Caenorhabditis elegans: one gene and its partner. The protein of the gene in region 2 purifies or fractionates together with the protein of the main gene of each other region. This does not show direct contact. Each region holds a gene or a part of one and is shown on either strand. Other genes may lie near its edges.

Region 1 (3,753 bases), about 12 Mb from region 2:
CCGCCTGAAACAGGACGCCTATTCTGAGAATTTGCCGTGAGATGGGGGTTTCCTGCAAAAGCCGCAGATTTTTTTTTCTGCGCAAAGTTTACTTTTTCGCGAGAAAAAGTAGCTGAGAACACTTTTTTTGGAAAAGGCTATTTTTTTTTCAAAAAAAAGTTTCCGGCAAAATGGGCTCCAAACTGGCATATTTCTCGTATAAAAATGCGGATATGCCACTTTTGAGGAGCTCCCTCCTGTTCCGACAGGCCAATTTGCTCGAAATCTGGGAATTTCAGCTCGAAATTCCAATTTTCAAGTAGAGTACAGCACTCACCTGCTTTATTGAAAATTTCTGCATTTCCTATAGCTTACAACAAATATGAAATGACGAGTTTTTTTTGAAAATCTCAAAATTTCATTTTCATTTGTAGCAGGAGGAAGTGGACGTCACGTTTCTTTTTTTGGAAATTGTTTTTGAAAACAATTTTGGGTGAAAATAACCAAAATTGTCTCAAATTCAGAAAAACTACAAAAAAAGTGCAAAAAAATTGCGAAAGAATAAAAAATCCAACTAAAAACACGCAATTTCTCAATTTTGGTTAAATTTCTTGGGCGACCAATCAGCGATTCGCTCCGCCCAATTTCGAGCAAATCAGCATTGTCCGCTCCATCTGATTGGTTCAAAAATGGGCGGAGCGATTCGCTGATTGGTCGCCCAGAACATTTAACCAAAATTGAAAAATCTTGATTTTAAAAGTTGGATTTTTCATTCTTTCGAAGTAATTTTTCTGGCGATTCGGAAAATTGCCGGAATTGAGAATTTCCGGCAAGTTCGGAAAATTATCGGAATTGAAATTTCCGGCAAATCGACAAAATCTCGGAATTGAAATTTCCGGCAAATCGACAAATTGCCGGAATTGAACACTTTCGGCAAATCGGCAAATTGCCGGAATTGAAAATTTTCGGCAAACCGGCAAGTTTTCGAAAATGAAAATTTCCGGCAAATCGGCAATATGCTGAAATTGAACATTTCCGGCAAACCGGCAATTTGCCGGAATTGAAATTTCTGGAATTGAAAATTTCCGGTAAATTCGGCAAACCGGCAAATTATCGGAATTGAAATTTCCGGCAAATCGACAAATTCTCGGAATTGAAAATTCCGGCAAATCGACAAATTGCCGGAATTGAACACTTTCGGCAAATCGGCAAATTACCGGAATTAAGACTTTCCGGCAAACCGACAAATTGCCGGAATTGAAATTTCCTGCAGATCGACAATGGGCCGAAAACGAAAATTTCCGGCAAATCGGCAATACGCTAGAATTAAAATTTCCGGCAAACCGGCAATTTGCCGGAATTGAAAATTTTCGGCAAACCGACAAGTTTTCGAAAATGAAAATTTCCGGCAAATCGGCAATATGCTGAAATTGAAAATTTTCGGCAAACCGGCAAATTGATGGAATTGAAATTTCCGGCAAATCGACAAATTGCCGGAATTGAACACTTTCGGCAAATCGGCAAATTACCGGAATTGAAATTTCCTGCAGATCGACAATGTGCCGAAAATTAAAATTTCCGGCAAACCGGCAAGTTTTCGAAAATGAAAATTTCCGGCAAATCGGCAATATGCTGAAATTGAAAATTTCCGGCAAACCGGCAAATTGATGGAATTGAAATTACTGGAATTGAAAATTTCCGGCAAATTCGGCAAACCGGCAAATTGCCGGAATTTAAATTATCCGGCAAATCGGCAAATTGGTGGAATTGAACATTTCCGGCAAACCGGCAATATGCTAGAATTGAAAATTTCCGGCAAACCGGCAATTTGCCGAATTCGTCGACAAAACACTGGAGATTTAGACGCGAAATCTCTTCTATCTCTTCTCTCTCTCTCTGCCTTCTGGTCACCAATCAAAAGTGACCGATTGTACTTTGAAGGGGGACGAGACCTCATCTGTGTGTGTGTGTCCCGGGTGATGTGCTGCTCATTGTGCACTTTCACCCCGCCTCTCTCAGCTTCATCATCATCATCTTCTCCGCCTATCTCTTATATGATTTCTTCTTTTTTTTCCAATTTCTTTTGCCTATCCTTTCATCACACACTTCTTTTTTTCCAGTCTTCTTCCCCAGAACACCCTCACTCAGAAAAAAGAATGTCGTTCATTTTGCCATCAGGTTCGTTTTTTCCGTGTTTGTGTGCACTTTTATGTGTGTTGTTTTTTGGTCGTTTTTTCGTGGTTTTTATTTTGTCGACGGAAAGCAAATGTGTAATTCTGCAAAAATTTCCTGAATCAAGTGGTGTCAGAAAGTCTCATCGCGGTTTGATCTACAAAAAATGCGGGAATTTTTTACCAGAAAAATTGTGACGTCATCACACTCTTTACCATGCGAAATCAGTTGAAAAGTCTGTGTCTCTTCTCCCGCATTTTTCGTAGATCAAAGCGAAATGGGACTTTCTGACTCCACGTGCTGAATTGGAATTTTTTTCCCAACATTTTTGCTGAAATTTTTGCTTAAATTTTGCGGAAATAACACTTTTGATTCAAAAATTGCTCCTATTCCCGTAAAAAAGTACTGAAAAGGGGGCTCAGGAACAGATTTGGAGCATTTTGATTTGGAAATTATCGGAAAATTTGCTCGAAATTTTTTCGGCCACCTTTGAGCAGTTTTTAGGCACTTTTCCCTATATTTTAGCTCAAATTTGAGCTATTTTCAAATACTGTCTACATTTTGCACTAATTTGTAGAAAAAATCACGACCGACCATGTGTCGATTTACGCAGCTGTCGTGTACTCCTCGAGGACAAGAGATTTGGCTTAAAAATACATGATTCTGGACCATTTTCCCAAATTTTTGTGTATTTTTTCCTTCAAAATGCCAATTTACCGCACATTTTCTTTGTGCGTAATGGGAGTATATCGCGACATTACTTGAATAAAAACCCATTAAAAAATTGGAAAAATGGTTAAAAATGGAGCATTTCAGCCAAATTTTGTGAAAGTCCTGAACTCCTCGGGGAGTACACGGGGTTCTGGCCTTTCCCATTGATGTTTTCGCGCTCCATTGGCAATCGCCCGCCGGACAACGCGTGGGAAAGTGTCGTGTACTCCACACATGGACGAATACATTTAGTTTTCCAACTAGAACCGCCGAGCCGCGACGCGACACGCAACGCGCCGTAAATCTACCCCAGATATGGCCGAGCCAAAATGGCCTAGTTCGGCAAAAACTCTTCCATTTCAATTTATGAGGGAAGCCAGAGACATCCGTGATAACTTGAATATCCCCATAAAAATTGGAAAAAATGGTCCAAAATGGAGCATTTCAACTAGATTTTCTTCTTCTCAGGGAGTACACACTGCCTGCGTAAATCCAGACATGGCTACAAATATTCCCACCTTCACGTGAATTTTTCAAAAAAAAAATCATTTTTTTTCTGGAAAAATGGGAAAAATCATGAAAAAGTCAAACATCAAACATCTCGAATAGGTGGTCTTTTTTTATTTTCTTGCACACAAAAATGTTCATTTTTTTGCAATACCGCCCGTGTGTACACTGTATATCGTTTATTATTGTCCTTCTGCTGCATTTTATCTGTTCTCACCACCCACCACCGCCGCAAAGAAATGCAATTTATCGCGCTTTTTGCACATTTTTTGTTGCTCTTTTTTTTGCATAGGATTGATGAAAACAAGTCCTCTCAGTCAATTCTAGTATGGAAGTACTGTAGGGTTACTGTAGGGGTACTGTAAGGATACTGTAGTTCTGGAA
Region 2 (3,753 bases):
AAAATTCGTCGTTTTATTTTCATTTTTATTGTGTATTTTAGGCCGGTAAACAAGAAAAAACACATATTTTAATGAAAAAAATTGTGCCGCAGTAGAAATAAACTGTTTTTTTAATTAAAAAGTGGTGTTTTTCCAATTTACCGGCCTTAAAAAAACTCTAAAAATGAAGAAAAACGGTTACATTGGCTAAAAACAAAGTAATTTCATTTAAAAAAAAAAACGAAAAAGCAACCAAAAGACTGTTGTAGGGTTTTTCGCGTCGAGACCCATCTGAAAAATCCATGCGCCTTTGAAAATTATGCGAAATTTTTGTGAAAATCACGCGTTTTCTAAACAATTTCGGTCGTAACAGGACCGCACAAATCTCATTTTTCAGACGAAATTCGCGCTTTTAGCTTTTCTGAAACGTTTTCGGTCGTTTCAAGGCTTCAGGTAGTATTTTCCGTGTGAAAATCGCCTTTTTAAAGGAAAATCCAAAGTTTTTGCCATGAAAAATCTTGAAATTCAGGTATTTCTTCGACTAAAAATCGGAAAATTCGCCGTACAGTCTGTTTCTTTCCATCCTTGGCTCCTTCGACCTCAACAGTGATGGTTGATCCGTTCTGCGAGGCTCCCATAACCTTCGTATTCAACAAAAACTTGAATCCCTGCTTTGTCAGTGATCTCTGGAAGTTCTTCGACACCTCTCCATCGATTCCCATTCCTCCGACGTGTCCGAGGAACTCGACAGCGGTCACTTCGGCTCCGAGGCGCTGCCAGACGGATCCGAGCTCAAGTCCGATCACACCGGCTCCGATGACGACCATCTTCTTCGGGACTTGTCCAAGAGAGAGGGCTCCAGTGGATGAGACAATTTGCTTCTCGTCAATGGTAATTCCTGGGAATGGGGTGACTTCTGATCCAGATGCGATCAGAATGTTACGGGCGTTGATCGTTTCGACTGAGCCGTCATTTTTCTTGGCTTGAACCTGAAATTTAGAGCATTTTCCAGTGAAAAATCGATAAAAATCAAAATAATTCAGACTAACAGTGTTTGGGCCGACAATGGTGGCGAATCCCTCGACGTGTCCGACCTTATTGGCCTTGAAAAGCTGCTTGATTCCTCCGGTGAGCTGCTTCACAGAGTTTGACTTGGCCTCCATCATTTTTGGCAAGTTCAACGAAGCTGTGCAGTCGATTCCTGGAAAAAAAAGGGAAAATAATGCGATTTTAGCAGATTTTTAGCGTTTCCAGATTATTTTTTCAGCAAATTTTCCTACCTCTTGCTGCAAAATCGTGCTGAGCCATGTGCAAATAGTGGGAATTGTTGAGAAGAGCTTTTGATGGAATACATCCAACATTCAAGCAGGTTCCTCCCAATGTGGCGTTCTTTTCAACACAAACTGTCTTCATTCCGAGTTGAGCGGCCTTAATAGCGGCAACGTAGCCTCCTGGTCCTCCTCCGATAACGACGAGATCGGCATCTGGAAAAAAAAATTCGGGTTTAAATGGTTTTTAAAAACTTTTTATTCAATTTTTCTCGATTTTCAAAGCTTTCTCCTACCTTGAGTGTTGCTGTAATTTCTGGCCAACACTTGGAAAAACTGCCGCTTGGCGAATGGAAGCTGAGTCGTTCTGGACAGCGACATATTACCTGAAAATAAATCGAATTAGAAGAAATTTTTGGCAAAATCCGTGAATTCCGCGTAAAAAAACACGAAAAGTGACAATTAAATGACGCAAAAATCACGAAAAATTGTGGAAAATTGACGTTTTTTCACGAAAAATGAATGAAGCTCGCGAAATAAAAGAAATAAAATCATCCCGTAAAAAACTCCGACGGCTCTTCCCTGTGTCTCTTCCGTGCGAGACTCAAAGCGGAAAATGTGTGCGCCTTGAGCTTGCAACGACACTCCGCAATTACAGAGTGCGTGTTGTTTAGTCAAATTGGCGGATGTTTAAATTTAGGTTTTTATTGAGTTTTTTTTCAGAATTTCGAAATAAATAGATTTCAGTGTTTTTTTCTGGATTTTAAACATATTTCGATGAAAATTTTCCGCAATTAAGAAGTGAAAGAATACAATAAACATTTATTTCGAAAAAATCAAAATTTTCAAATTTTCAAATTTAAAGTAAAATTTAAAGAGATTTCAGCCAAACTCCATCAACAGAGACAAGTTGACCGTCCTTCTGCTCAACTGTATCAGGCATCTTGAACCAATGAACATCATCGACAATTTTGTGGTGAGTATCGAGCCAATTAGCGTTGGCACCGAAGAATGGGCCGAATTTTTCTGAAAATTTCAAAAAATTATTTTACAAAATGCAACAGCGCTCTACTGCACAAACCATCACAAGCCAATGGGCAACTTGGGAAGGTAGTCTTCACGAAAACCTTATTCTGCTCACAAGCCCACCACGTGGCAACTCCAGCTTCTCTGCGGCAGGGAGCAGTCTGGAATGGGGCTGACCAGCAATTCATGAGGTCTTGACCGTACCTGAAAATTAGTTTTTTGATCTACTCTGCAAACGCGCTCTAGCAAACAACTCACTTGCAACCGTTTGTAGCGTCATTTGCCACGTTGGTGATGTAGGTTTGAACGCATCCGATGAGAATATTTGATTGGGTGTTGAGAACTCGTTGTGGGCAGCTGAGGCCTTCGTGCTCGAGAGCTGAAAGTGCGCTCTATTGGATTTCAAAATTGATTTTTAGATATGTATTGTAGCTCACTAAAATGAAAAAAAAAATTTTTACTTTGTGAAAAAATTTGCTGTTTCAATATGCTTTCAAATCTTCAAGTGATTTTTTTTTCAATACTAGTATAAGTTCTAGGTATTATTAAAAAATTTTTAAAAAGTTTTCAACAATGCAACTGCGCTCCACTGAACAAAAAAAAATGTTAATAGCAAAATCAATACGTTTGGGACTTTCTGATTGAAAGTTTTGAGTTTATAAACTATAGCCAGTGTGAAAAAAAACTATTTGGGAAATAATTTGCCCGAAAAAAATATGTTTCGTTTCATATTATTTTCAAAAAGTTTTAGTTTTTTAATTGTTTCACTTCCATTTTTGCTTGCTTCAAAAATAACTTATTGAAGAAGTCACTGCAAAAAAGGGCGGGACCTTGTAAACCCCGCCTACAAAATGGACAAAGATTAATTTCGTTTTATTCCTGCTTTGTGGCATTTAAAGTTTTAATTTTTTTTTTTTTCAAAAAAATTATCGATTGTTTCAACTTGCTTTTAAATATTCAGGTTAATTTATTTTCAATATTCGATGGCTATGTGGACTATTTAGAGCTTAACTTGAATATATAAAATTTACAATAAAGAAAATGCGCTCCACTGAACGAATATTATTTTTTCGCAACAAAAAATTTTGATTGAACATTTCAAGTTTAGTATCTTTGTGCAAAAAACTACGAAAATTAGACAATTAGTTTAATTTGAAAAGTAATTTATGCGAAAAATTATATTCTGTTTCATATTATTTTCAAACTGTCAAGTTATTTTTTATTATTGGTTATTCAATAAGAATCCTTTTATGTAAAATCATTGTAACAAAATTCAAAAACCATAAAATTTATTTCAACGAGACACTACATTTACCGAAAGTCTATTTGCTCATTAAGAAAGGGGCGGAACCTTGTAAACTCCGCCTACAAAATGGACATAGATTAATTTTGTTTTAGACATGTTTTGCCGATTACTTAAGATGTAAAATTTCGGTTTTTAAAAAAAAAAATTATCGACTGTTTCAACTTGCTTTTGAAA

What was found. The genes of interacting proteins can lie anywhere in the genome.
Region 1: the proteins of dld-1 (region 2) and nprt-1 fractionate together in Caenorhabditis elegans (co-fractionation; one large-scale study listed by BioGRID). This does not show direct contact.

Annotation. Positions count from the first base shown.
Region 1 is NC_003282.8:2,883,639-2,887,391, reverse strand, and holds the start of nprt-1 (Nicotinate phosphoribosyltransferase), read left to right. Parts: upstream 1-2,099; 5' UTR 2,100-2,135; coding exon 2,136-2,157; intron 2,158-3,753. Other genes in the region: dml-1 (uncharacterized protein), read right to left, coding at 1-52, 317-340. UniProt on the Caenorhabditis elegans protein: Catalyzes the first step in the biosynthesis of NAD from nicotinic acid, the ATP-dependent synthesis of beta-nicotinate D-ribonucleotide from nicotinate and 5-phospho-D-ribose 1-phosphate.
Region 2 is NC_003282.8:14,462,397-14,466,149, reverse strand, and holds the start of dld-1 (Dihydrolipoyl dehydrogenase, mitochondrial), read right to left. Parts: upstream 1,634-3,753; 5' UTR 1,629-1,633; coding exon 1,544-1,628; intron 1,464-1,543; coding exon 1,260-1,463; intron 1,181-1,259; coding exon 1,029-1,180; intron 969-1,028; coding exon 546-968; intron 1-545. Other genes in the region: nspg-9 (DUF19 domain-containing protein), read right to left, coding at 2,119-2,273, 2,329-2,477, 2,532-2,652.